7 linked regions of the Oryctolagus cuniculus genome follow. The protein of the gene in region 1 purifies or fractionates together with the protein of each later gene. This does not show direct contact. Links are inferred from orthologs where the notes say so. Each region holds a gene or a part of one and is shown in the gene's direction. Other genes may lie near its edges.

What was found.
Region 2: the proteins of EIF4G1 (region 1) and USP10 purify together in Homo sapiens (affinity purification with mass spectrometry; 4 studies listed by BioGRID, with this or other methods). This does not show direct contact. The link is inferred for Oryctolagus cuniculus from reciprocal best matches to the Homo sapiens genes EIF4G1 and USP10.
Region 3: the proteins of EIF4G1 (region 1) and EIF3J purify together in Homo sapiens (affinity purification with western blotting; 3 studies listed by BioGRID and IntAct, with this or other methods). This does not show direct contact. The link is inferred for Oryctolagus cuniculus from reciprocal best matches to the Homo sapiens genes EIF4G1 and EIF3J.
Region 4: the proteins of EIF4G1 (region 1) and EIF3G purify together in Homo sapiens (affinity purification with mass spectrometry; 3 studies listed by BioGRID, with this or other methods). This does not show direct contact. The link is inferred for Oryctolagus cuniculus from reciprocal best matches to the Homo sapiens genes EIF4G1 and EIF3G.
Region 5: the proteins of EIF4G1 (region 1) and PDCD4 purify together in Homo sapiens (affinity purification with western blotting; 3 studies listed by BioGRID and IntAct, with this or other methods). This does not show direct contact. The link is inferred for Oryctolagus cuniculus from reciprocal best matches to the Homo sapiens genes EIF4G1 and PDCD4.
Region 6: the proteins of EIF4G1 (region 1) and MKNK1 purify together in Homo sapiens (affinity purification with western blotting; 3 studies listed by BioGRID and IntAct, with this or other methods). This does not show direct contact. The link is inferred for Oryctolagus cuniculus from reciprocal best matches to the Homo sapiens genes EIF4G1 and MKNK1.
Region 7: the proteins of EIF4G1 (region 1) and EIF3A purify together in Homo sapiens (affinity purification with western blotting; 4 studies listed by BioGRID, with this or other methods). This does not show direct contact. The link is inferred for Oryctolagus cuniculus from reciprocal best matches to the Homo sapiens genes EIF4G1 and EIF3A.

Annotation. Positions count from the first base shown.
Region 1 is NC_091435.1:93,890,456-93,894,476, forward strand, and holds the start of EIF4G1 (eukaryotic translation initiation factor 4 gamma 1), read left to right. Parts: upstream 1-1,221; coding exon 1,222-1,281; intron 1,282-1,514; exon of another isoform or gene 1,515-1,574; coding exon 1,575-1,661; intron 1,662-2,162; coding exon 2,163-2,183; intron 2,184-2,750; coding exon 2,751-2,927; intron 2,928-3,146; coding exon 3,147-3,246; intron 3,247-4,021.
Region 2 is NC_091449.1:66,213,479-66,217,628, forward strand, and holds the start of USP10 (ubiquitin carboxyl-terminal hydrolase 10), read left to right. Parts: upstream 1-1,350; 5' UTR 1,351-1,467; coding exon 1,468-1,488; intron 1,489-4,150. UniProt on the Homo sapiens protein: Hydrolase that can remove conjugated ubiquitin from target proteins such as p53/TP53, RPS2/us5, RPS3/us3, RPS10/eS10, BECN1, SNX3 and CFTR.
Region 3 is NC_091443.1:67,472,157-67,476,169, forward strand, and holds the start of EIF3J (eukaryotic translation initiation factor 3 subunit J), read left to right. Parts: upstream 1-1,213; 5' UTR 1,214-1,387; coding exon 1,388-1,430; intron 1,431-1,517; coding exon 1,518-1,621; intron 1,622-4,013. UniProt on the Homo sapiens protein: Component of the eukaryotic translation initiation factor 3 (eIF-3) complex, which is required for several steps in the initiation of protein synthesis.
Region 4 is NC_091447.1:67,187,206-67,191,339, forward strand, and holds the start of EIF3G (eukaryotic translation initiation factor 3 subunit G), read left to right. Parts: upstream 1-1,334; 5' UTR 1,335-1,463; coding exon 1,464-1,483; intron 1,484-1,623; coding exon 1,624-1,670; intron 1,671-1,972; coding exon 1,973-2,056; intron 2,057-2,157; coding exon 2,158-2,246; intron 2,247-2,367; coding exon 2,368-2,427; intron 2,428-2,825; coding exon 2,826-2,930; intron 2,931-3,026; coding exon 3,027-3,216; intron 3,217-3,396; coding exon 3,397-3,504; intron 3,505-3,585; coding exon 3,586-3,722; intron 3,723-3,814; coding exon 3,815-3,921; intron 3,922-3,988; exon of another isoform or gene 3,989-4,122; coding exon 4,123-4,134. UniProt on the Homo sapiens protein: RNA-binding component of the eukaryotic translation initiation factor 3 (eIF-3) complex, which is required for several steps in the initiation of protein synthesis.
Region 5 is NC_091446.1:19,364,552-19,368,051, reverse strand, and holds part of PDCD4 (programmed cell death protein 4), read left to right. Parts: intron 1-1,038; coding exon 1,039-1,152; intron 1,153-3,500. UniProt on the Homo sapiens protein: Inhibits translation initiation and cap-dependent translation. May excert its function by hindering the interaction between EIF4A1 and EIF4G. Inhibits the helicase activity of EIF4A. Modulates the activation of JUN kinase.
Region 6 is NC_091438.1:126,227,834-126,231,333, forward strand, and holds part of MKNK1 (MAP kinase-interacting serine/threonine-protein kinase 1), read left to right. Parts: intron 1-977; 5' UTR 978-979; coding exon 980-1,079; intron 1,080-3,100; coding exon 3,101-3,198; intron 3,199-3,500. UniProt on the Homo sapiens protein: May play a role in the response to environmental stress and cytokines. Appears to regulate translation by phosphorylating EIF4E, thus increasing the affinity of this protein for the 7-methylguanosine-containing mRNA cap.
Region 7 is NC_091446.1:11,586,359-11,589,858, forward strand, and holds part of EIF3A (eukaryotic translation initiation factor 3 subunit A), read left to right. Parts: intron 1-84; coding exon 85-773; intron 774-3,500. UniProt on the Homo sapiens protein: RNA-binding component of the eukaryotic translation initiation factor 3 (eIF-3) complex, which is required for several steps in the initiation of protein synthesis.

The DNA of each region.
Region 1 (4,021 bases):
GGATCTGTGCGGGGAGCCGGAAATGGTTGTGGACTACGTCTGTGCGGCTGCGTGGGGCTCGGCCGCGCGGACTGAAGGAGACTGAAGGTAAAGCCGCCATGTCCGGGCCCGACCCGGCCCCCCCACCCCCTCCCCCCGCATCCGCCGCCATCCGGGCCGGGACCGGCCACCCTGCACCGCCGCCCCGGCGCCCCGGCCCCGCGGCCCGAGCTCGGGCCCCTACCCGCCAGGGCTCGATCCCCGGCCCACGTGTGTCCGGCCTGGCCGGGCCTGGCTGCTGGGTGGGGGTGGGGGAGCGCGGGGCCGAACTATGTGGGCCCCGCGGGCTGGGAGGGCGCCGGGTTCGCCGGTCGCGAAATGCCACTCGGGCCCGACCCGGGGAGGCCCGGCGGCCCGCGGGAGCAGCACCGCGGCCCCAGGCCCGCCGCCCCCCCTTCGCGGCCAGGCCGCCGGGAAGTGACACGTTGTTCTTTGGCACTGGCCGGCGCTGCGCAGGGAGGGCGCAGGGGAGGGAGGCGGCGGCGGCGGGCAGGGAGGAGCCCCCGGCCCCGCCCGCCCTCCAGGCCGACCCTCACTTGCTTGAAACCGGCTCGCCGCCGGCCGCCAGCCGCCGCCCGCCTGGCTTTTTAAAGCCCGCCTCCCGCCCTTCCTGGCCTACACTCCTGGGGCGGCGGCAGGCCTCGCCTCTGGCCCTGCGCGGGTTGCCCCCGCGGCAAGCGTATCTTCTGCGCCCCTGGGCCAGGCCCCGAACCCGGTGTCCCCGGGTGGGGGGTGGGGACACCACGGCCGAAGCAGCTAGCTCCGTGTGTGATCCGGGAGCCTGGTGCCAGCTTGACCTGGAATTTCCGGTCTGGTTGGTCTCGGGTCCCGCGGAGCCAGGTTGATACCCCTCACCTCCCAACCCCAGGCCCTCGGATGCCCAGAACCTGTAGGCCGCACCGTGGACTTATTCTTAACCGAAGGGGTGAGTGAGGGGGCTCTTTTCAGCAGATCAGGGTGGGTGGATGGAGGTAGTGTGGATCTGACACCGTGTTGGTGGGGTGGGGACACAGCCTGAGTTTTTTCTGCTCCTTCCTCCCCTGGCACCTCCGGCGCTTCGTGTTGGACCCAGCTTCAACCCTTCCCCCACTCTGTTTGCCTTAAGCTTGGGTCCGTTCCCCTTTCCAAGCTTCACTCTTTCCCAACAGGTGCTGGGGGGACCCTGATGTGGCACCAAATGAAATGAACAAAGCTCCACAGCCCACAGGCCCCCCGCCCGCCCCATCCCCTGGACTCCCACAGGTAATTAGGGAGGAATTAGCTAGGGTGGGGGTGGGGGAGACCAGGCCGCCTCAGGAACAGGTTCTAGCCTCTGGATTTTCCCACCCCCATCTGTGTCAGGGCAAAGTGCAGCTGCCTGCTGCCAAATTGAGACAGGTCCCCTGGATGTCCCCAGGGGCTGTCATGGGGAGGGGGTGTGTGGACTGCCGAGGCTCTTGCTGCAGACCTGCCCCCCTCCCCCCCTGTTTCACCAGCGTGGGTTTCAGCCCCACCCGGGCTTCCCCTCTTGCTGAACTCTGGTCTCCCCCCTTCAGCCAGCGTTTCCCCCGGGGCAGACAGCACCGGTGGTGTTCAGTACGCCACAAGCAACACAAATGAACACGCCTTCTCAGCCCCGCCAGGTGAGGGGCTGTGGGGAGGGGAGTAGGGGGCCTGGGTGGGAGCTGTGGACGGCTTAGGGCAGTGTGGACCTGGGGTGGAAACTGGAGGCTGTGTGCTGGCCTCAGTTTCCTGGCAGTCGGTCTGTGTCCTCTCCTGTGGCTCTGCACTGTGTGCTGTTGGTTACTTATGGTGGCTGGCCCCTGGGGAAGTATGTCGTCGGCGAGGGGGGCTTAACTGGGGTCCGGATGCCTCTGAAAACTGGGGGCAGTGCTTTAGCCCCTGCTGCCCACTTTGCCTCTCCTGGTTCTTTCGCTGAGAGGTTGCCATTGCTCCAGTCCCCTTTCTTGCCTTCTTTTTGGACTATGGCAAGATAAACACTCTGGCTGGTTTCTTGCCTTCTTCTGTTACCTGAGTTCTTCCTTACTAAGTGGGAGGATTCTTGTCCCACTACTTAGATTTTTTTTTAACCCCTCATCTCCTTGGGGATAATTCTCTTCTTTCCTGTCCCCATGTGCTCTCAGGGAGGATTCAGGTCTCTGCAGGTAATACCCCTTTCCTAATCCTGGACCGTGTCCTGGTCTCACTTTCCCCTCTGCCTTAGGGTCTACAAACAGGGAGTGGGGGGTCTTCAGGGTGGGGACTTTGTGCTGGTTGGGTCCTTAGTTTGAGGCTGAGTAGTGCATGTTAGGGGCTAAATCCTGAAGAGTGTATCTGGGAACTGGGAGACTTGCATGTTAGTAATGAGTTTCTCAGGACCTTAAGTGGAGCAGTGCATGCTGGGGAGGGAGGATGTCCCTGAAAGGGCCTTAGGCATGATGCATCTGGGTGTTAGGGAGCCCCTCCAGAGGGCCAGTGTGGTGGAGGTGACATATGTATGCATGGCAGTGAGAATCAATACACACAAACGCCAAATGTTCGTCTGAGTTTGGAGGCTGTGTGTGAGTATAAGAGGCCACTTAACCATCAGTTGGTCAAGTGTGTCTTGGAAGGATTGGTCTTTATGCTCTGAACCCCACAGTACTTTCCAGACCATAGAGGCATTGTGGAGGTACTAGTTTGCTGCCCGCTTTCTCTCTCTCAGTGCCAACCTCTTTCCTCCCTCCTGACAGCACTTCTACCCTAGCCGGGCCCAGCCCCCGAGCAGTGCAGCCTCCCGAGTGCAGAGTGCAGCCCCTGCCCGCCCTGGCCCAGCTGCCCATGTCTACCCTGCTGGATCCCAAGTAATGATGATCCCTTCCCAGATCTCATACCCAGCCTCCCAGGGGGCCTACTACATCCCTGGACAGGTGAGGCTGGAGGCTTGGGAGCCATGCACCTTGTGCTGTAACCCTCGCCCCTTCCTGCCCCAACCCTCTTGCCCTGTCTCTTCGTCAGAGATGGGACTTCTGGTCATTGCCCAGAGTTGGCTTGTCCTATCTTGCCCTGCATTCTGTTTGTAGTCTGGTATGGTACTCGTAGCTTCCTCAACTCCTTCTCTTCCCTCTTCTCCCCCCCTCCCCCACCAGGGGCGTTCCACATATGTTGTCCCGACACAGCAGTACCCTGTGCAGCCAGGAGCCCCAGGCTTCTATACGGGTGCAAGCCCTACAGAGTTTGGGACCTATGGTAAGCAAGAGAGGGAGTCAGAGGTGAGAGTGCTTCCCAGGGAACTTCAAAAGTGATCTACTGATTTCTAAAGCCTAAGACCCTTCTCAGGCATGGCTTTGGGGTTAAAAATAATAGGGTTAATAGTTAGTAGGGATTGGTGCTTAATGTTTAACTGGTGTTGGTGGGGGATAAAGACTTGATTTCTGTTGCCAAGGGAGTTGGAGTCCTGCCTGTGTCAGGAACGCAAGCCCAGGCTCCAGCTTGAGGGCCTGGTGGGCTTTCCCGCGACGCTGTTTCTATGGTGGTGGGGAGGTGGGGGGCATGTGACATGGATTTGTGGCTAGTTTTCGTTTGTATTCTAGGAAAGTACTAGTCTGTTCTTTATGGCAGTGGTTTCCAAAACTTTGATCATTGACTGTGTACTTTTAAAATGTATATATGTGTGTGTTTGTATATATGTGTGCATAAGTTAAACATATAACATGACACTTGGGAAATCAAGTGTAAATCATGTATGAGGTTAAAGAATGCTCCCACTTTGGAGACCATTGCTTTAAGGAATTACTTTTTCTTTCTCTTGGGCTTAGTTCATAATGTTACTTTTTGTTTCCTTGCCCCTCTGCAAAGGGCTGGATACTGGAAGGAGACTAAGGTTGAGTGGAACAGGCTTAGCACATCTTTTTCTCATTCCTAGCCAGAGACTGAGTTTCTTTCAGATTCAGAGTGGTATGTGTGTTGCTTTGGGGGGGGGGGGGTGTATGCACAGGAGTATCTTGGAGAGTAGAACAGACCT
Region 2 (4,150 bases), on another chromosome or scaffold:
TATTTATTTGAGATTTATTTATCTGTTTGAAAGTCAGAGTTACAGAGAGAGAGGCAGGGACAGAGAGAATCTCCCATCTGGTTCGCTCCCCAGATGACCACAACAGCTAGGGCTGGGCCAGGCTGAAGCCAGGAGCCTGGAGCTTCTTCCAGGTCTCCCACATGGGTAGCAGGGGCCCAAGCACTTGGGCCATCCTCTGCCGCTCTTCCCAGGCCATTAGTGGGGAGCTGGATCTGAAGTAGAGCTGCCAGGACAGGAGCCAGCACCCATATGAGATGCTGGTCTTGCAGATGGTGGCTTTGCCAGCTTCGCCACAATGCTGGCCTGGGGGCATTCTCTTCACAAGCTCAACATCATCATCACGTGATGAAAGTCAGCAGTAATTCACTCATCATCTATATGTAACCCGATTTCTGATCTGTCTATCACAAAACAAGCCGCAGGGGCCAGCAGCGGGCATCCCACAGGGACTCTGGTTCAAGTCCCGGCTGCTCCACTTCCAGCCCATCTCCCTGCTAATGCACCTGGGAAAGCAGCGGAAGACGGCCCACGTACTTGGGCCCCCTATGTCGGAGACCCGGATCCAGCTCCTGGCTCCTGGCTCCGGCCTGGCCCAGTCCTGGACGCTTGGGTCATCTGGGGAGCGAACCAGCGGATGGAAGATTTCTCTCTCTCTGTAACTCTGACAACCAATCCTGAAAACAAACAGTAACACCAGCTTGCAACACTGGGGATTCCACCGAGACCCAATGTATCTCACTGCGGCGTCTTTGTAGCGCTTCCTCCGCACACTGCCCGGCCACTGGGGCTGCGCCGGCTGCAGGATGCATCACCGGGGGCTGCTCGACCCGGGCTCCCCGTGGGCGCGTGACAGCCGCACACACGGTGGCAGCCCGCGCTCGGGGGGCTCCCCGGACCCAGGATGGTGGCCAGGCCTCACGGCAGGCGCTTCACCTGTGTGCCTGGCTTCGGTGCTTCTGGCTTTGGGTTTGCAATGCCCGCGTAAGGCGTGGCTCGGAGCCAGGGCCCCGGCAGAACCGCGAGGGAAGCAGTGAACGAACGCACGGGAGGGCGACTCCGCTAATCTGGAGACGCCCTCCTCGGGGGTCTGATCAGCCAAGGGAGACTCTCCTGGAGCAGCGAGGGCCCCGGGGGCTGGGGGCACTAGCTCCCCCTGCACCTGCACGCCCTCTCCCCATCAGGCCCGCACCTGCCCGAGCCGGCGGGGCTCACAGTCCACCGGCCCGGCTCCCGCGGCCGCCCGGCCCGGCCGGAGGCGCCCGCGCACGCCCACCTGCCGGCCGCGCACGCGCAGCAGCGCCCCGGCCGCCCGCGCCCCGCGGCGCGCCGCCAGTGCGCAGGCGCGGCGGCCGATGCGAGTGTGTATGTGCGGGCGAGAAGATGGCGGCGGCGGGGGAAGCAGCGTGAGCCGCCGGGCCGCGCCGAGTCCCATTCAAACGGGCCGCCATGGCCCTCCGCAGCCCGCAGGTAGCCGGCGGCCCGCGCCCCCGGCCGGAAGGGGCCCGAGCCTGGGGGAGCGCGCGCGGGCGCGGGCGGCCGGGAGCGAGCGTGTGGGGTGGGGGAGGGCGCGGGACCCGCCGCCCGGGCCTAGGCCCCGGGGCCGCCGCCGCCGCCCGGTTCCCGCTCCCCAGTCCCCGGCCCCGCGGCTTCCCGGGGCGAGCGGGGCGCGGCGCGGCCCCGGGGTCTCTGGCGGCGCCGTCGGCGCGCCCGGGCCTGCCGCCGCCGCCCGCGCCCCGCGCCCCACGCCCCCGGGCCGCCCCCAGCGCCGTGGACCCCGCGGGACCCGCCGGCGCGGGTGGGCCGGGGGCCGGGGCCGCTGAGGACAGCGGCGCGGGCGTGCGGGTGCCGCGGGGCCCGGGGCGGCGCCGGCGGGGGGCGCGGCGGCGGGGGTCCCCTGTCGCGCACGGGGGGGAGGTGCTGGGGGCGCGGGGCGCGGGCTGGGGGTCGCGCCGGCCGTGGACCCCGGGCTGGGCGCCGGCTGAGCCCCGGGCCCCGGCGCCGGCGCCTGGGCGGCCGCCGCGCGCCTCTGAATGAGAGGTGGGAGAGCGGCACAAAGTAGGTGCGGGGCGGGCGGCGGGGCAGCTCCCGCCTTGCCGCGCCGCTTTGTTGGCGGCGGCTCCCCCGGGCGGGCCGCGGGCCTTTCCTTAAATATGCACGGACAGCACCTCTCGGGGGGCTCCGCTCTTGGGGCGCCCGCTCCGGCGTGCCGTCGGAACTTCCCGGTACTCGGGTCGCCGGGCAGCCGGTGCGTCGCGGGCTTTTCCCCCGGGAGGCCTGGCGTGCGTTTCTGCGGGCTTCGCGTGCACAGAGGCTCCCGCACTTCCTATACTCGGTGCCCGGGCTCGTTCGCGGAGGCCACGCGTGCCTCCTGGCGATGGCCTTTGCGTCCGTGGCCCGGGACTTGTGCCTCTGGCCAGCGCGAGACTGACCTGCGCCTCGGGGCCGAGCGCGGTTGGACCCCTCTTCCTTTCCTGTCTAAAAGAGAGTGGTGGAAGGAAGCAGTGGCGTCCTGAGCAGGGTTTGGCTGTTGGACCGGCCGGGTCTCGGTCACGCTGTCCCGAGAGTCTGGGCGCTTGGGGCCCCGTCATTCATTCAGCAGCGATCGCCGAGCCCCGAGCCAGGCAGGCTGACCCGGTACGAGGTAGCTATCGCAGTAGCAGCCCCAGTTAGCCTCCTTTACAACCGACTTGTTAAGGCTACAGTTTTACAGTTTTGTGTGGATTGTAGCCTGTTTCCATCATACTGGGAAGTGTTGGTTGAGCCCATTCCCTGCGCGGAAGTGGAGCAGTGAAGTTGGAAACATTTTGAGTGCCGCTGGCTTGGGAGGGTTGAACCCTGTTGAAGAGTAAGTGTGTCTGCTCCATGAGTGTCTGTGGTCCCGAGGGACCTGCGAGTGCCTGGCTGACGCCTCCCTGCCCCGGAGCCTCACAGCGCTGAGCGCCCCCCCCCCCAGTCTTCATCCCCTGGGGGCTGTGGGGACCCGCCGGGTGTGGTGACATTCCTGCAGTGTGCTGGGGTACTGACTGTATGTAGAGGGCGCATCCCGAGACTAGATGCGATGCCACAGGTGTGTGTTCTCTGTCACCTGAGTGGGCGTGGCGTGTCTGGTGCCAGCGGCCCCCATCCAGGGCCTGTCCTCCGTGTGGCTGGGCCCAGAGTGTTCTGAAGTGGCCCTGAGAGAAGCGTGGCCCCCTGCCCTCTGGGTTCCTCTCCAGAGCAGACGCCGGGCCCGTGTTCCAGCGCTGTCAGGGGAAGGGACGTGGCCCTGAGGCTGGACGCCGGCTTTCAGCCCAGACCTGGGGGCGTGGGCACATGCCGTGCTCAGAACACACTCAAGGGGTGGGGGAACCGGGGTCGTCTCCACTCGAATTAGTTACAGTGAGGCTATTTCGTTTTGCCTTCTTTTTTAAATTTATTTATTTGTTTGGAAGAGTTACAGAGAGCAAAGGGAAGATGTACAGAGAGAGAGAGAGAGACCTTCCGACTGTTGGACACTCCCCAGATGGCCGCAGTGGCTTCTTCTGGGTCTCTCACGGGTAAAGGGGCCTAAGCACTCGGGCCACCTTCTGCTGCTTTCCCAGGCCGTTAGCAGGGAGCTGGATCACAAGAGGAGCAGCCAGGACTCGAACCGGTGCCCATGTTGGAAGTTGGCATTACACACGATGGCTTTACCTCCTGCGCCGTGACACTGGCCTCTTGCTTTTTTATTTTTTATATATTTTTAATGCAGATTTCAGACCTGTAGGTGACTCTTGCTAGGTCTGCTTCCCCGTTAAGCCTGGCTGCTGAGGGCGCCGCTCCTGCTGGCCTGCTGGAGAGTGAAGGGTTAGGACGTGCTTGCTCTTGAATTTGCACGCGGCTGCCCCGCTTCTATTCACTGCCGCACATGCAGGAATCACCGTGGCACAAAGCAGACAAATCTGTCTGCGGTGGAGTTTGCTGGCCTGGGGCCGCTGGATTACTGTCATCTGTCACTTTAGTGCCACTTCAGCAGTGTAGGTGTCGTTTCCAAAGACTCGCATGTGCTTGGGCTGCACTTTTCCTGGTGATCGGTGTGGTCACGCAGAGGTCTTTCCGGGACCGTTTTGTCAGTACTGGCTGGGTTAAGAGCTGGGCGGGGGGGCAGCGC
Region 3 (4,013 bases), on another chromosome or scaffold:
AGAGCTCCCATCTGCTGGAGCATTCCCCAGATGCCCACAAGAGCACTAACCCAGGTCTCCTATGTGGGTGGCAGACACCCAGGCATCTGAGTCACGACCACTGCCTCCTAGTACCTACATGAGCAGGAAGCAGGAAATCAGTGCCAAGCAGGCACTCCTACGCTAGCCTGAACACCCACCCCTCTACCTCTTTAAAATTCAGATATTGTAGCAAGTTATAAATATAAAACCAAAATAAAAACATCTGAAACCGCCCACCCCTTAAAGTCCTACAGGGGAGCCCAGTGGCCCCAGGGGCAGAGAGTTTAGCCCATCTCAAGCCCTTACTGTTCAGTTTACCTGTTCGGTTTACCTCCAATGGCGCCAGCCAGATGAGGGGCACCGCGCGTTCTTTCTACCGGAAATGCTCTCGAGCAAATTTCTCTGGGTCTTTCCGATTGCCGTTTCGCCGCGCCTAACCCCAGGAAGCCTTTCCTGCACCCTCCAGCGCCCGCTGCCCTTAATGTCACCTATTTACAAGTAACCTCATAATGCTTCTTTCAGTTGCAGTCATCACACTGTGCCGAAATCTGTTTACCTGTCCGTCTTTGCTACTTGGGGAGGACAAGGCTAGAGCTTATACCCAAGGCAGGCACCAGAGCCCCAAAACTGGTCTGTAAAAGAATGAATCAATGTGCTGGCCTCAGGGGGCTCCCAGGAAGTTTGGAAAAGCCTAGGGGGCTGGGGCTGTCTTCGATCCACTGGTGACTAACTGGACGCAACCGCGTTCGGAGTGGCTCTGGCCATCCGGATCGGGAAGGCCGCCACGGACGCGGTCTGTCCACCTCGCTCGTTCCTCGACGCCCCGCACACGCCGGCTTTCCAAGAGGATCCCCTGCTCATTACAGCTCGACTGCACTGGAGAGAGGTCGGGGAGGCCGGTCCGCCGCGTACACCGGCGGGCGTGGCGCGGAGAGCCCGAGTCCGCGCGCCGCACGGAGAGAACACCATCCGCCAGCGGCGGCGGGCGCGGATCTCCGAGAACAGCGGGAGGGGCGGTGAGGGCCAGCGAGGGCCAAACGCCAAGCCGGGGGACCGCCCCGCCCACTTCCCTGCACTCACGTTTCCTCCCCGGGACCCACGCTGGGGTAGACAGTTCCACCGCCCCGCGAGCCCGCAGCACAGTCCCGCGTCGTGGGGAGCTGGACGCGCCGCCCGCCTCAGTCCCCGCCCCGGCAGTGCGCGTCGCCCGCGCCGCCAGGAGGGGCGGGGCCTCGGCCCGGGCGCACAGTCAGCCACGGTCCCAGCCTGCCCCGCGCGGGCCAACGAGAGCAAAGCCAGTGACTCACCTCCGCCGCGCTAACTCCGCGCCAGCTCTCCCCTCACACACGCTCACACCCGGCTCGAGATGGCGGCGGCGGCGGCAGCGGCGGGCGACTCGGACTCCTGGGGTGAGGCGAAGTCCCCGGGGGCAGGGCCCGGGCCGATGCCGGCCCCACGCCGAGGCAGGCACTAACGCGGCTCGCTCTCTTCCGTAGACGCGGACACGTTCTCCGTGGAAGACCCGGTGCGGAAGGTGGGGGGCGGCGGCACCGCTGGTGGGGACCGCTGGGAAGGCGAGGACGAGGATGAAGACGTCAAGGTGGGTGCGGGCTGGGGCGCTGGGCAGCCCGGGAATGGGCCAGCCTTGTCGCGGGCGGGATTGCCCGCCGGCGGGCGAACTCCCGGCCCAGGGGCGCCGCCCGGGCCTGGGAGCCGCGGGTCCAGGCACGAGCCTAGGGCCCGATGGTGCCCTCTCTCCTTCCGCTCGGCGACCATGTGGATCAGGCGGGCAGTGTGGCCTCTCGACTCTTTGGCCGAAGGCAGTGGCGAGCCGACCCCAGCCCCGCTTTGGGGGGTCCGCGCTCGGGCCTGGATCCCACCTGCCGACTGGCGACGAGATGTGACAGCAGCAACCAGGCCGGCCCACGTGCAAGCTTCGCGGTCCGGAGCTTCTCGCCAAGGATGAGACTGGGAAGTTGGGGCTCGAGCGCCATGGTTTATCCCATATGGAAAGTCTTGAAACCCGCCTGCCTGTCTGAACTCAGGTCTCCCCGGAGCCAGCAACTTCATTTATGACTCCGAAGGCCTGTTTAGAGAGTTTGTTCAAGCAGTTAGGTGGGTGAAATGTTGTGGGTTAATTTCATCCTTTCTTCCCACATGAGATTAATAGGAGCAGTAAAGTGAAGTAACTTTGAGCTCTCCCTTCCCCCACCCTGTGGTTAAAAAGGATGAACTGAGAACTGAGATGGCCAGAAGTTAGTGGACCTTGGGAGTCCACACAGTGACCTGGAAAATGGAGAGTTGACAGTTTTTCGTCTACTACAACGTGAATGACGCCCAAGAAAACATTTAAGAGTTAATGATTGGAAGACCCAGTATTTATATTTTTCCTGTGCCTTGTGGATCTCAACCATATTCACCGTCGTTGTTTGTTTTTGTGAACTCTCCTGGGCTCATCTTGTGACTGTAGATAACGTTGACTTCTGTGGCTTTCTTGCCCTTTTTTTTTTTTTTTTAAGCAAAAGTCACAAGTCCAGAATGTTAAAACTTTTATTAAAAAGTTCTTAAAAATCTTGTATCTGTGCAGACAGAGCTTTTTATGAAATGGAAATTTTAGGGAATGTTTAGCTCTTTACCTTTCTGCTTGGGTTGAAGCTTTAAACCAGATAATCACGATGCGCTTAATGGTGCTGCTGTTTAAATTGTTCCCTTTGCACCCAGGGCTCATAGGGGAAAGTGTGCAATTGTATCCAATAGCCTCAGATTCAGGAATGATATGAGCTTTGCACACATTGGAGTGAATAGGTAGTACTGTTACTGACTGAAGATACTTAGATGCTTCATTTATGTATTATGTAAACTTAGGACTGGATTGTATTGTCAGTTTCCTTACAAGATATTAGTTACCTCTCCACAGTGTGATACATTTTCAGTCTTGAGCCTTGAGTTCAGATTTGTCCTTTTTCTTTGTGTGCATACGGGACATGACAGTCAAAACATTTGCAAAGAAAAATGTAATGAAAAGATTGGAGAAATCAAAAAAGAAGTCCCAGAAAATAAAGTTTAAATGGAGCAGTCTGGGTTGATTACCATGAAGTTGCTGGTTTCATGGTATCTAAATGAAGTCAGTGCTGGTCAATATAATTCTGATCACTTGGAACTAGTTTTGGAGATTTATATATTGCTAGGAACCACAAGGAGAATCTTGTCTATTTACTCTTCCAGTGCAGAATTTTATATAAATGATAATAATTCTTTTACCTGCACTTTAATATTGATCCTGGAGCGTGGAAGCTGAATCTGTCTGTTAATATCCCTGTGTTGAAATGTTAGCTTATTTTGTTTGAGTTTCAAGATGTGGTATCCAGGGTGTAGTTTGATTCCTGGGTTCGGAGTAAGACCTAGTTTCATATTGTTGCCTTGACATTTTGTAGATTTGTCATAAGCAAGTTACAGTTTTCCAATCTGTAAATGGTCTTTGTAGGGCCTATCTCAGAGGGTTGTTTTGTGTTTTAAACGAGATACGTCAAACATTAAGCTGATTTGCCTACCAGTTGGTAGTTACTCAATAAACATTAATTCTGTCTCATTTCATGTTACAGTATTAATTTTTTTGGCTTGATAACTATGGTCAATCCATTAATGAAGTTTGTAGTAAGTAGACATTATGGAAAGTTAGCAAGCACAAGTTTGCTTGCCTGGAGGTTATCAGTCTAGAGTTGAAAAGTTGTCCTGTTGCATAGTAGTGAGTCACATGTCTAAATTCTGATGTTTATTGCTTAATATTTTTGTGAAAAGATGCAAACAAAATTAGCTTCCTTGAAGTCAGATAATCATGGTCCTTAAGTCACAGAATATGTGAATTAAAAAAGTCCTCAAAAGCAAAGTAATGTGTTCTTTAGTTTATCTGAAATCTAGTACTTAACCTTTAAGAATTTATGTTAATGTCATTTGTAATGTCCTGGAAAATGATAAGAGAACTTGGGTCTTTG
Region 4 (4,134 bases), on another chromosome or scaffold:
CTGACTCACAGCAGCCTGGGGGGCGGGGGTCACTGTGTGGACCAACGCTACCTGCACTTCCCTAGACGGCCACTTGGTGGCGCTTGCACCACAGCCTCACCCAGGGGAACGCCAAGTTTACAAAACCCTTGATTTCCTGCCCTTCCAGCCGCAGGGCCCTGAGCGTCCTTGCGCACTCGGCCCTGCTCTCCTTGGACGGGAGGCTCCGGCGCCGCTGGGTTAGCGGGAAGCTGGGATTCGAAGCGGAGCTGGGGCAGAGCCTCCGCCACTTCGGCAGGGGAGCCGGCGCGGCCCAAGCTGTGTCTGAACGGCTGCCCGCCCCAGCGGTTTTATTTTTAAAGATTTTATTTGACTTATCTGGAGGGAGAGACAAAGGTCTTCCATTCACTGGTTCACTCCCTAAATGGCTGTAACGGCTGGAGCTGAGCCAATCCGGAGCCAGGAGCTCCATCCGGGTCTCCCGTGCAGGAGCAGGGGCCCAAGGACTTGGCCCATCCTCCACTGCTTTCCCAGGCCACAGCAGAGAGCCGCATCGGAAGTGGAGCCCCGTGGCGTGCCTCCCGGCTCCCTCCTGCCCGGGCTCCACCACCCCGGACGGTGCTGTGTCTGCCCTGGGCCGTGGTGTCCAGCAGTCAGCCTAGTACTTGCTGTGTCCACACAGAGAGCTTACGTTGTCTGTGCCTCCACAGCTCGTCCATAACTGGACGTTAGCAGACGTGGCAACTCCAGGAGCGGGTCCTGAGCCTAGCGGCTGTCCCCGGGGCCCCATATCGGAGCTCCTGCAGCACCCTGGGAGGCAGGAGGTGATGACGGCTCAAGGAATGGGGTTCCCGCCACCCCTGTGGGAGACCCGGATGGAGTGCTCGGCTCCTGGCTTCGGCCTGGCCCAGCTGTGGCTGCTTTGGGCATTTTTAGGGGGTGAGCAGTAGATAGGACATCCCACTGGTGTCTTTGCCTCTGAAATAAAAATTTGTTTAAAATTGGGTTGTTTGAAACTCTCCTGTCAAGTCTTTAAGAAAGGTATTTATTAGGCAATTAGATCTTCCATCTGCTGGTTCACTCCCCAGATGTTTACAACAAGCAGAGTCCTGGGCCAGCCCAACACCAGGATCCAGGGGCTTCTTCCGGGTCTCCCGCGTGGGTGCAGAGGCCTGAGCCCTTTAACCGCCATCCGCTGCTTTCCCAGGTGCATTAGCAGGGAGCGGGATCGGAAATGGAGTAGCCGGGACTCGAACCGGCGTCCATGTTGCATTTCCGGTCAACCCTGGGAGGCGCCTAGCCGCCTCTACCCGCTTTGGGTACCAGCGCACACGGCGGCGCCTCCACGCCCGTCCGCACGGGGGCGCTGCGAGCATCCTCGGCCGGGTCGCTCTAGGCGGCGGCGGCGGCTGAACCGGAAGTCTCTTTCCTCCCCCACTTCCGCTCTCTGGCCCGGGCTCGGGCTGCGTGGAGAAGACTTTGCAATGCCGACGGGAGACTTTGAGTGAGTCCGGGGTGGCGGCGGGAGTCTCGGGAGACAGTGTGGGGGGGTCCTGGGGGACTCTTAGGGGGCCTGGGTCGCGCGGGGCTGCCGTCGTCCGGCCTCGCCGCCCCAGCTCTGTCCCCGCACGCTTGTCCCCGCAGCTCGAAGCCCAGCTGGGCCGACCAGGTGGAGGAGGAGGGCGAGGACGGTGAGTTCCCACGCGGCCCCCGGCCCGGGGCAGTGCCGCCCCGCTCGGGGCCGGGGCCTGGCCCCTGCCTTGGCCACTGCTCAGGGCCCCCCGGCACCTCCGCGCGCGGCCCCCGCCCCGCGCCACCCTCCTCGGGGCCAGCCCACTGACCCCTCCCGTCCTGCTCGGGGCCGGGGCCAGGCGTGGCGCCCGCGGGGTCTCCCGGCCCGTGCCCCACCCTCACGCCAAGGACCCCCGTGCCCTGGCCACTGCTCAGGCTGCCCCCGCCCCTGGGGCTCACCCCCGCCCGCCCCCTCCTGCAGACAAATGTGTCACCAGCGAGCTGCTCAAGGGCATCCCCCTGGCCACCGGCGACACCAGCCCGGAGCCTGAGCTGCTGCCCGGGGGTAAGTGACAGCCTCCGCCGCGGCCCTGGCCACCCCACCCCCACCCCCCGCCCGGCCCGCCGCTCCCAGGGCTCAGTTCCCCTCCCCGTCCCCCTCCTCAGCCCCACTGCCGCCCCCCAAGGAGGTCATCAACGGGAACATCAAGACGGTGACCGAGTACAAGATCGATGAGGACGGCAAGAAGTTCAAGGTGGGCCGGGGCGGGGGCTTGGGGTGCAGGCAGTTCAAGGTGGGCTGGGGGAGGGGCGTGCCGGGGCCCTGGGCGGGGGCTTGGGGTGCAGGGGGCCCACCCACTGCCCTCGCACCTGCAGATCGTGCGCACCTTCAGGATTGAGACCCGGAAGGCCTCCAAGGCTGTCGCGAGGAGGAAGGTGAGGCCCCCGCCCCCGCAGGGCTGACCCGGGAGCTGGGGACCCCTGTTCCAGGGGGAGTTGAGCTTCCGGAGGCCGGGGTGTCTGCATGTCTCTTGGGGCCCTGAGAAACTCGGGGTGCAGGAGCGGCTGGGGTTGGAGGGGGTTCCCCCGCTGTGCCCCTGGCTGGCGGCAGGCCCCGTGCCAAGCCCCTGGCGCCCGGAGAGACCCAGGGAGGCCGGGAGCTTTGGTGGTGCTGGCTTCACCGGGGAGGGACCCCCGCCTGCCCCCCCCAGCCTGGGCCTGGCATGGAGCCGCAGCTGCCCCTGTTGCGGGGTGGCTGCCGTGGTATGTGGGTGCCCAAGGCTGTGGGCCGTCGCCCGCTCCTGCCCTGACCTGACCCCCTCCCCGGAGCCCAGAACTGGAAGAAGTTTGGGAACTCGGAATTTGACCCGCCGGGGCCCAACGTGGCCACCACCACGGTCAGCGACGATGTCTCCATGACGTTCATCACCAGCAAAGAGGTGGGCGGGGCCGCGGGTGGGGGCGGGGTGGGGCCGCAGTCGGGGGCGGTGCAGGCCGTGAGCCCCCGCCTCCCCGCTGACCCCCGCCCCCCCCAGGACCTGAACTGCCAGGAGGAGGAGGACCCGATGAACAAGCTCAAGGGCCAGAAGATCGTGTCCTGCCGCATCTGCAAGGGCGACCACTGGACCACCCGCTGCCCCTACAAGGACACGCTGGGGCCCATGCAGAAGGAGCTGGCCGAGCAGCTGGGGCTGTCCACGGGCGAGAAGGAGAAGCTGCCGGGAGGTAGGCCCGGGGGCCCTGGCCGTGCCCTGGCCGTGCCCTGCCCGTGTGCTGCGGGCCTGCGCGCCCCCGTGGGTTCTGGCGGTGCCCGTGTTGCTGGCAGCGCGTGCAGATGGTGCCAGCGTCCGGGACGTGCCCTGGGGGCCGCCCGCCGGGCCTGACGCCGGCGCCCTCGTCCTGCAGAGCTGGAGCCCGTGCAGGCCGCCCAGAACAAGACGGGGAAGTACGTGCCCCCGAGCCTGCGCGACGGCGCCAGCCGCCGCGGGGAGTCCATGCAGCCCAACCGCCGAGGTGAGCTGGGCGCCCTGGGCGTGGGGGGGGCGGGCGCTGGGCGGGGCCTCCCCCGCTCAGCCAGCTGCCCCGCCCACACAGCCGACGACAACGCCACCATCCGCGTCACCAACCTGTCGGAGGACACGCGCGAGACGGACCTGCAGGAGCTCTTCCGGCCCTTCGGCTCCATCTCCCGCATCTACTTGGCCAAGGACAAGACCACTGGCCAGTCCAAGGTGGGCGGGGCCCGGGCCTGGCCGTGCATCCTGGGGCTGAGGGCGGTGCCCGGGCGGTGGGCAGGACCCTGACCTGGGCTCTGCCTCGCCAGGGCTTCGCCTTCATCAGCTTCCACCGCCGGGAGGACGCCGCGCGCGCCATCGCCGGGGTGTCAGGCTTCGGCTACGACCACCTCATCCTCAACGTGGAGTGGGCCAAGTAAGACCCCGCCCTGCCCCGCCCCGCCCCCCCCCGCCCCGCCCTGCCCCAGCCACCGAGCCTGTGTGCAGCGACAGCGCTTTATTGGCCTGCAGCAGGGCCCGTCCCCGCGCGCGGAGGTCCCACAGGGAGCCCAGGGACACCCTGAGGTCCCAGGCGCCAGCCGCGTCAGCCCCCCTCCCTCCCTCCCTCTCCCCGCAGGCCGTCCACCAA
Region 5 (3,500 bases), on another chromosome or scaffold:
TATGTAGTTACCTATTTTAATAGTTGGGCATAGAATTTTTATTTATTTGACAGAGTTAGACAGTGAGATGGAGAGACAGAGAGACAGGCCTTCCTTCTGTTGGTTCACTCCTCAAATGGCTGCTACAGCGGTGCTGCGCCGATCCGAAGCCAGGAGCCAGGTGCTTCTTCCTGGTCTCCCATGCGGTTGCAGGGGCCCAAACACTTGGGCCATCCTCCACTGTCCTCCTGGGCCACAGCAGAGAGCTGGACTGGAAGAGGAGCAACCGGGACTAGACCCGGCGTCCATATGGGATGTCGACGCCGCAAGTGGAGGATTAACCAAGTGAAGCACGGTGCTGGCCTCCTAGAAATTTTTCTAAGAGAATATTAGAAATACAGATATTCATTAGTCTTTGAAGCATATGTTATCGCTTCTAGGCATTCTGGCTAAGATCAAGTGAAATATGTGTTAGACTGAAGCCAGTAACATGTTTCTAAACAAACACTTAAGAGATTTTTTCTTGTATGGGAGAGAGAGATGCTTTAATGATGGACATTAATCTTATTTTTTGAAATTTCAGTTAAACAGTGATTTTCAGTCTTAAGATTTCCCAGGCTTACTATAGCGTTGATTTTTGTTACACTTGATGATAATACAAATAATGAAGGCTTTGGTTTCTGCTTCATTTTTTAAAAAATGGAAGTGTAAATGAAATACTTAATGTGTTAGGAAGCCATCTTAAAACTTGTTGGTTACTGAAAGGTTGCTTTTGAGAGGCATAAATTAACACAAGAAAAAGGAGCTGGGAGCAAGTCGCACTTGCTGTAGCTAATGGTTCAGTCTGTACACTGACTTACTGTATTCACATCGTGTAAAAGAACAGTGACCTATAGATTTCACTTGTAATAATATAAGTGATCAAAACAGCCATTTCTTTATCTTGCCCTAAATGGAGATTACTAACCATGTAGAATATACTAGTAAAATTATATAACAGTTTCCATTTACCTGAAATGTTGTTCTTTAATTTATAACTCTTCTCCCTGCCCCTCACAGGAGAACTGTGTTTATGAAACTGTAGTTTTGCCTTTGGATGAAAGGGCATTTGAGAAAACTTTGACACCAATCATACAGGAATATTTTGAGCATGGAGATACTAATGAAGTTGCGGTAGGTTTAAGGTTACAAATTTATTTAATATATGGAGAAAATACTGTTATAAACAAAACATATCTAGGATGACCTTGGATCAGTAAACAAGCATTTTCTTTTGCATAAATGAATTTCTAAGCAGTGGAATAAAATCTCTTTATGTTAAACCAGTTGTTACATATTTGGGATGTGGTAAAAGCTATGTGTCATTTTCTTCCCTGAAAAATGGCATAGCTATAGTATTTTAAGAATGATAATGTGTAAACTTTAACATTTTTGTAATTTATACAATATAATTTTAGCAATTTCAGGGCATTTATGGACCCTCTGAAACCTCTTCAGAGACCTAAGTTAAGACTGCCTGACTCAGTTTCATTTATTTGACACTTATTTCCGTGTTCAGTATTAGGATGAAGTTTATCTTTGTACTCTGTTCAAAAAATTGAGAACACCAAAATAAAGATTTGAAAAAATAAACCAAAAGAATAAAATTTAGATTTTTTAACAGCAAATTTATAGGGGAATATTTACTGTGCTAATTATGAATTGCTCATAAATCTAGAAGGATAAAATAAAACAACTGGTATAGTTGGGATTACTAAGCTAAAGTAATATAATTGTACCATTTGTAAGATTTTGATAATGTAGATTCTTGAAATTCAGGCTGGACTTGCTTGATTTGCCTGATATTGTGAGGTTTGATATCTTTAGATTTGTTGAATTTTAACACAACTCTTTGTTCAGTGCATACCACATGTAGGAATTTGTGAAAGATAATTCCTGTCCTTTTGAAGCTCAGTCAAGTGAAGGAAATCGTGTGTAAACAGATTATTAAAACATATTGTAAAATACTCTATTATTAGATATGTGTAGACAGGGATTGTTGAAATCTGGGTGTCTTTCCTAGTGTAGAACCAACAGTGTATTCTGTTACTGAGTAGTGCTATGAGCAGTTTTAAAGAAATACAACATGGAGAGCAACAGATGATTCTGCAGCAGCTAAAGAATGGTTGAAGAGAGTTTTCTGGAAAGAGTAGTATCATGTTTGAAATTAATGAGAAACTTGTTAAAGTTCAGTTGAGGAAGATGAAATGGAGTGGGGAGTGGAGACTACTTACCAAGGCACCAGTACATGGCTGTGAAAATAATTCTGGCACCCTCATAATACACCATGATTTAAAGAGTCTAAGAAAACCTTCAGTAAAGAGGCAGTCACTCCAAGTCACTCAGTTAGAACTTAGCCTCTAGACTAGACTGCCTAATTCCATTTCTAGCTTGGCCAGTCCTGTGTGCCCTCAGCCATCCCTTAATATTTTTCTGGGCTTTGGGTAATATAGGCATGAAGTTACAATGTAGTACTCAAATATTATTTTGAATATTAAATGAGATACTATAAATTGGCTGTTACTAAGTATTGGGCTATTTTATATATACATTTTTGATACTTGACGCTACATGTCAAGTATATGGGATGTAGTATATTTTGATATATGTAGGTCCAGTATATAGTGATAAAATTAGGGCAACTAGCATTTCTATCACTTCAAACATCATTTTGTGTTGAGAACACAGTCCTCCCACTCTGCGCTATATTAGACTTTGTCAGTGACCACGTAACTCCAGGATGTTGCCTAGTGACATCATAGCTGTCCTAGTTCAAGTACACTTTATTATATTTGTAGAATGATGGACTTGCCTACTGATGGATTTCTCAGAATGTATTTCCAGTGTAAGTGATGCATCGGTGTGTATAATAAATTGTTACAAACTATTTTCACTCTATTGTGCTATAGAACTCTAGAACTTACTCTTTTCTAACTGTATTTAATAGGAAAAATTTCTTTTATCCTAGCATGTTAATACCACTTAAAAACAATTACTTAAGATCTCATTTTAAATTTACATGAAAGTATAAATTCTTGTGGAAAGGTTTGAAGAAAAGTAGAATATAAACAACTTCCGGTAGTGTAAAATGACTCTCCATTCAGTTATAAAACAACGTTCCTAGAAATAACACTAATAGATTATGAGGCAGAAGGTTAGCTAACTCTTAATACCCAACTTAGATATGTAGTTTAATAAGCTTTTTTTTTAAAAAAAGATTTATTTATTTATTTGAAAGAGAGAAGGAGAGGCAGAGAGAGAGGTCTTCCAATTGGTCTTCCCCAGCTGGCTGTACTGGCTGGAGCTGTGCCAATCTGGAGCCAGGAGCCTCCTCCTGGTCTCCCATGAGGGTGCAGGGGCCCAAGGACTTTGGCCATCTACTACCTTCCCAGGCCATAGCAGAGAGCTGGATTGGAAGTGGAGCAGCTGGGATTCGAACTGGCACCTACATGAGATGCTGGCATTGAAGGCAGCGGCTTTAC
Region 6 (3,500 bases), on another chromosome or scaffold:
ATCAGCACTCGAGTGCCTCTATTTTAGAAGGATGTAAAGGTTTAATCACCCTGGTGGGGATTTAGACCAGAGACTTCAGAGAAATCTTATTATTTCTAACTGCAGGCAAAGAGTATTAAGGCTCCACTCTGGATCAGGGGCATGACATGTTCTATAAGTAATTTATCTTTCACAGGGGACGGCCCGAATGGAGTGTCTTAGGAACAGTCCTGTGATTGGGCCCTGGCTCACTGGTCCTCCTGTCTGAGCCCCTGCCTGACTCTCCTGCCCAGTGTCTGGAAGTCTGCCTCACGGATCCTCCCTTGAAGACGGGGGGCCAGGTGCATGCCAGTGAGAGAGAATAATGTCTTTGCCACAGTGACCTTACCCAGCAGCCTGTCGGGGACCTCTCGACCACAGGCTTCTGGAAGGGCCAGGGAGGGGAGAGGATGCTGTGGGCTCCACTGGCACTCGGTCTGTGCTGCGGGACGTGGAGGATTTTAAGGTCATTCTCAACCTGCTGCCAGCCCTCTTGTGAGCGCTCCCCCAAGGGGGGTCACTGAGCTTGTGGTTTGTCTGCACACGCCCCTGCTCCCACCCACTTCTCGCCCAGCTCCCTGGGTCCTGCCTTTCGGGTGCTGAGACTAGAGGGCGTCACAGGTGGAGCTGTGCTTGCAGAGTCATTATTCGGTTGGGGAAATACAGTTTGACTGGTGGCAGATCTAAATCCATGCGCTAATGAGCTTGGTTAAAGCAGGCTTCTGCTATCCTCCTTTAATCTAGCCTGCCTGTCTGAGTTCCTTTCCACAGTTAATGATCTCCTATAATGGTTTTGCCTTTAGTTTTGCCTTCTGGGTCAAAACAAATCAATAGTCCTCACAGATATTTAAAAACCATCCGTGTAAAGCTCCTGGTCCCCCTCCCTCTTTCTCTCCTGGGTGAACTTGGAGCCTGATCAGTACAGTGGTGTTCCCCTGACCTGTCCTCTTCTCTCCCAGAGATGGGCAGCAGTGAGCCCCTTTCAGTCGCAGACAGCGAGAAAAGGAAGAAGAAGAAGCGGAGAGCCCGGGCTGCCGACTCCTTGCCGGGGAGGTTTGAAGGTCGGTATCACAACTCTCCTAGCCCTGGGATGTAGCTCCCCAAGCACGGGGAAGCATTCTGTTGCCCGTGGGTCTGGATACCAGGCTGTGCCATCCTGGAGCCAGCAGGGGTTAGCTGTGTGATTCGGGGGAAGGATGGGCTGAGCAGATTGACACAAAGGTGGGACAGAGAGAGCAAGGTTGGGGAAGGCTCTCGAATGATGCACTGGCCCCCATCCATGGGCCAACACCACCTCAGAGGGCGTGTGTGGAGTGAGACTGCCCAGGGTGCACGTGCTCCTCTTCAGCTGATTCTTCCCTGGCTGTTCCTGGAGGGGCTGCTGAGAAGTAGGACGGCCATATTAGAGGACGCAAGAAACACCAGGGGCCGGGGCTGCAAATGAAACTTCCATCATGTGTAAGCAAAGAATTTGCTCCTAGAGATTGCAGCTGCTCGTGCTGCACATGCTTGATCCCGTGTTAAAGAGTGCACGGGTGTTCCGGAAGTGCCGTGTTGGGTCATCGGACACTTCTAGACACCATCCCCACGTGGGGCATATGACTCAGTGCTGATGCTGTGGTCATTGGGTGATCGGAGCTAGGGTAGGTGGACCATAGCCACTTCTATAGGGGACAGACCAGATCAGAAGCTAGTGCTAGGAGTAACTTGTCCCCTTCAACTCTTGTTTCTCTCATTGTGAGGCCCTCATGGTCCCTCTTCCCAGCCTTGCAGACACACCAGTAAGCTGGCTGTCTTGTAGAGTGGTTCTAATAACATGTGCTTATGAGTTGGGAATATGGCGCCCCAGCACCGACCTGTGCTGGTGCGTGTAAAGGCCTGATGGCAAGGTGACCATAGGGAGAAAGATGGCATTTAAAACGCCAGCAGTGTGCCACCATTCTCATGAGCAGCTGCAAGACCAAACTGCGATGGAGCCAAGAAGGTACTTACTGGAGGGGTTTGGAGTTTGTCTTCCCTTAACTTAGACAGTGGACATCTATGTGTACATGTGCATGTGTGGCAGGGGAAGATGGGTTACAAATGCCCCAGAGGTTTTAGAACAGTTTCCAGATCAGCAGGTCTTTTGCTCTCTCAGTGAAAATGAGAGTGTTTACTGTTATCTGAGGATTGCTTGTGCAGTTATAGAAGTATTCAGCTCAGTCCGCGGGCTTAAATGAGAGGAAGGTGCTGAGAACAGGGAGGTCAGGTCAGCGAGGGCTGTGGTGGAGATGTGGCCTCCTTTCGAGAGCGCTTAGAGAACCCATGCTGTCTGTAAGCTTGGGCAGGCCACCCAGTTGTTCTCAACCCAGGCCTGTTACTCTGTCACAGCCACTCTGACTCAGTGCCCTAAAACCTCGAAGCATCGTTTGCAGGCTACTTCCGTCTCTTATTTCCTGTGGCTGACTTCTGGAAACTTCTCAGAAACCTCCAGTGACGTCCACTTTCTGTGGTGTAAAACGGTGTTCTACTCCCCGTTGTCTCAGCAGTGCTTAGCAAGGAGCTCGCCACAAAGCACATGCTCCGCAGAGCGTTCCCTCTCCAGGAGGATGGCCCAGACTGCCCGAGCGGATTCAACCTTTCCCTGTCCCTGCTGTTCTCCCTGCGCCTTGTCCCTCAGGAATAGTTCTTACCAGTGCCGGGGCCATTCTGAACCACTCGTGTGTGTAGCTGTCAAGCCTGCGGGCCTGTGACCGCTGGAGGTGAGGGACTCGAGCCTCTCCTCGTTCTGCCCCTCCTGTGCTGTCTGACACTTAGTAGGTGCTCAGAAGCATCTGCAGAACGGAAACCCCAATCCCTCCAGCAACCTCAACTCTCAAAAGAGGAACAGGATGCCTTCCGTGTGGTCTCGTTGAGAAACCGAGTCCGGAGATGACTGGGAGGTGACGCGTCTTTCTCGTCAGCAAGCGTGCCGTGGTCATTGTGCGCCTGTTCGGCCTGTGCCGTCACAGCGGGGAAGCTGGGTGCCGGAGGCGCCTCTTCCCACCCCAGCTTGCAGTGGGATGACTCACCTTGTTATTCCTCTCACCCATTTCACCTCTAGATGTGTACAAGCTGACCTCTGAGTTGCTGGGAGAGGGAGCCTATGCCAAAGTTCAAGGCGCCGTAAGCCTGCAGAGTGGCAAAGAGTACGCTGTCAAAGTGAGTGTCTCGTCTGCACGCCAGGCCCGGCCTTGCAAACAGCCATTCCTAGCTTGCCCTAAACCAAACGAGTTTCAGATTCCGCAGAGCTGTCTTCTCTGGATACAAATCTTACCTTCTCTACTTACTGGCTGTGTTACTCCTGGCAAGCTACTTAACCTCTCTGTCCTTCCATTTCCTCATCTGTAAAATGGATGTAATAGCAGAACCCTTACAGAACTATTTTGAGGATTGAATAATAATAGGTGAAGTGCTTAGAACAGTGCTTGGCTGATGACCAGCCGCTTTCATGATTCTGACAA
Region 7 (3,500 bases), on another chromosome or scaffold:
TTTTTGGTGAATAAAAGATCATTCCCCAAGAGATTCTGTGCTTTTAAGACGCTTACCTTTACAACTTGGCTTGCTGCTCTGCAGGGAGTGGCGACGTGGAGAAGGGCGGGATGACGAGCGGTCTCACCGAAGAGATGAAGAGCGGCCGAGGCGTGTGGGGGACGATGAAGACAGAGAATCTTCTCTTAGGCCAGATGATGACCGGACTCTCCGGCGTGGCATGGAGGACGACAGAGGCCCCCGGCGTGGTCCCGATGAAGAGAGGTTCTCTCGCCGTGGGCTGGAGGACGAGCGGCCTTCCTGGCGCAGTGCAGACGATGATCGGCCTCCCAGGCGGATTGGTGAGGAAGACAGGGGAAGCTGGCGCCATGCAGAGGATGACAGGCCACCTCGAAGAGGACTGGATGACGACAGAGGAAGCTGGCGGACAGCCGATGAGGACAGAGGCCCAAGACGAATGATGGATGAGGACCGGGGCCCGAGGCGAGGGGGTGCTGATGATGAGCGGCCTTCCTGGCGGAGTGCTGATGATGACCGGGGTCCCAGGCGGGGCATTGATGATGACCGGGGTCCCAGGCGAGGGCTAGATGATGATCGAGGACCTTGGAGGAATGCCGACGATGACAGGATTCCCAGACGGGGGGCTGACGATGACAGGGGTCCTTGGAGAAACATGGATGACGACCGGATGTCAAGACGAGCTGATGATGACCGGATTTCCAGGCGGGGCGAGGACTCCAGACCTGGTCCTTGGAGACCGTTTGTTAAGCCAGGTAAGGTTCTGGTATTCAGAAAACTAGATGGGGTGCTTGGAGCCTGCTTGATGTGTTTCCATGTGCAAAGTGAAACTTCTTAAGTGACAAAGAGGGCTGTTACCTGTTCTGTGTGAACTGGTATTTTATCTTTCTTAGAGTGTCAGTGAAATGATGTTTACCAGAGGTTTGCCAAACAAAACACAACACCTGAAGTCACCAAGTCACCGGCCCTTCTGTGTGCTGACGCTTTGCTTGTTTGTCTTCTGCCTCCTTGCTTCTCTGGAGGCTCTTCCCGGGCCTGACCTATTGGTGTGTTCTTAAAAACAGTTAGAACCAGAAAGTACTTTGTGACTATTTGTGCACACGCACACGCCTGCCGGTTGTGAGACTGCATGGAAAGAGCTCATTGTCTCAGTCCCAGGCCTGCTCTTCCTTCCACGTGTGCTGCCCTTGAGGAGTTGCGTGCATGCGTGATGTCTGCCGGCACCTGCACGTGACTTCTGCCTGTAGCTGGGCTGTGCAGTCCGACCTCTCAGACTCAGCCCTTTCCTCTATGTCTGACCCCACCCCCACCCCCACCCCCACCCGCACACCCCACTTCCTTCAGGGGCACTACTGTCCAGCTACTTTGATAAGCTACAAATCTGGGCGGTCACCTTTATTCTGTTTCATCCTTTTGTTAGAGCTTTAATTTAGTTCAGTTCTGCCATTTTGATGTTCCTCACATCTGCCCATTTCTTTCTCTCTTCTCCCTGTTTATGCTTGGTCTGGGTCTTTGGAATCTCCTCTTGCCTCTTAAACATGCGTCTGCCACCTCTCCCACTCCCAGTTTCTTTTTAGAATGTATGTTTACTTTACTTGAAAGGCAGAACAACAGAGAGGTATCTTCCATCTGCTGGTTCATTTCTCAAATGCCTACAACAGCCGTGGCTGAGCCAGACTGTAATAACCAGGAGCCTAGAACTTCATCTGGGTGTCCTCCTGGGTCGCAGGGACCCAAGCATTTAAGCCATCATCTGCTGACAACCAGGATGCATTAAGAGGAAGCTGAGTGGGAATTGGGAACAGTTTCCTAAGAGGCAGCTTGATGTGCTGTGCCACAACACCGGCCCCCTCTAGTCCTCCCCGCTTTGTTTCTAGTTTTGAGAGTGAAACCAAGACCATGCTTCTTGTCCACCGTTTTGCTCCCCTAAATGCCTGTAGTGTTTGGGAGTGGGCCAGGCTTAAGCTGGGAGGCAGGAACCTAACTGCTTGAGCCATCACTACTGCCTCTGACGCCCCTCATTATCAGGAAGCTGGAGGTCAGAGCTGGACAGTGCAGTCACTAGAGCAGTGTGTTCTACGTTCAGATCTAAGTGAGCAGCCTGCTTGCTTTTACTCGTAGAGCTATCTGCTGCATTCTTCTTCTTTTTTTTTTTTTGACAGGCAGAGTGGAGAGAGAAAGGTCTTCCTTTGCTGTTGGTTCACCCTCCAATGGCCGCCGTGGCCAGCGCGCTGCAACTGGCGCACCGCGCTGATCCGATGGCAGGAGCCAGGTACTTATCCTGGTCTCCCATGGGGTTCAGGGCCCAAGGACTTGGGCCATCCTCCACTGCACTCCCTGGCCACAGCAGAGAGCTGGCCTGGAAGAGGGGCAACCAGGACAGAATCCGGCGCCCCGACCGGGACTAGAACCCAGTGTGCTGGCGCCGCAAGGCGGAGGATTAGCCTAGTGAGCCGCGGCGCCGGCCCTGCATTCTTCTTGTCTCACAGTTGAGCTGTGGTCCTGGGCAAGCCACTTAATTTTTCTGTGCCTAATGTAAGTGGAGTTAACAGTATAGTGGATTTCTTTCTTTTAAGATTTATTTGAAAGAGTTACAGAGAGGAAGAGAGGTCTTCCCTCTGTTAGTTCACTCCCCAAATGGCTGCAGTGGCCGAAGCTGAGCTGTTCCAAAGCCAGGAGCCAGGAACTTCCTCTGTACATGGGTTCAGGGACCCAGGACTTGGGCCATCCTCCTGCTTTCCTAACCACATTAGCAGGGAGCTGGATCGGAAATGGAGCAGCCAGGACTCGAACCGTGCTCATGGGATGCTGGCACTACAGGCTGGGACTTCAACCTGTTGTGCTGGCCTGACAGTAAATCCTTTTAAATGGTGGTTGTTGTATTTTGTAAAGTAGCTTTGAATACTGAGGAAGTGTAAGGTTAGGTTCCTGTGAGCCTGAGAGGTTACAGCTTTTTGAGAGCCATGTTTTATGCCTTTTTTTTTTTTTCCCCAACTTAGATTTATTTAAAAGGCAAAGATGCAGAGATAGAAAGGGAGAGATATCTTTCATCCAGAGGTTCACTCCCCAAATGGGCTGGGGCTGGGCCATGCCGGAGCCAAGAGCCAGGAGCCAGGAGCCAGGAGCCAGGAGCCAGGAGCCAGGAGCCTCCTCTAGGTCTTCCACATGGGTGCAGGGGTCCAAGCACTTGGGCCGTCTTCTGCTGCTTTCCCAGGCACATTACATGAGTAGGGAGCTGGACTCGAACTGGCACCCATATGGGATGCCGGTTTTACAAAGGTGGCAGCTTAATCTCCTTCACCACAGCACAGCAGAGCCCATCTTTGTGTTTTAAGATACTTTATTTAATATATAACAATATTGATTCATTAACATTGAACTCATGGCAAAGAAAGTTGCCTAATACACATATTTTTTCCTTAAGGCACATCACAGCCTTCCTGTACTTGGGAAACTATGACAGTACTATGCTTGGGGACCAT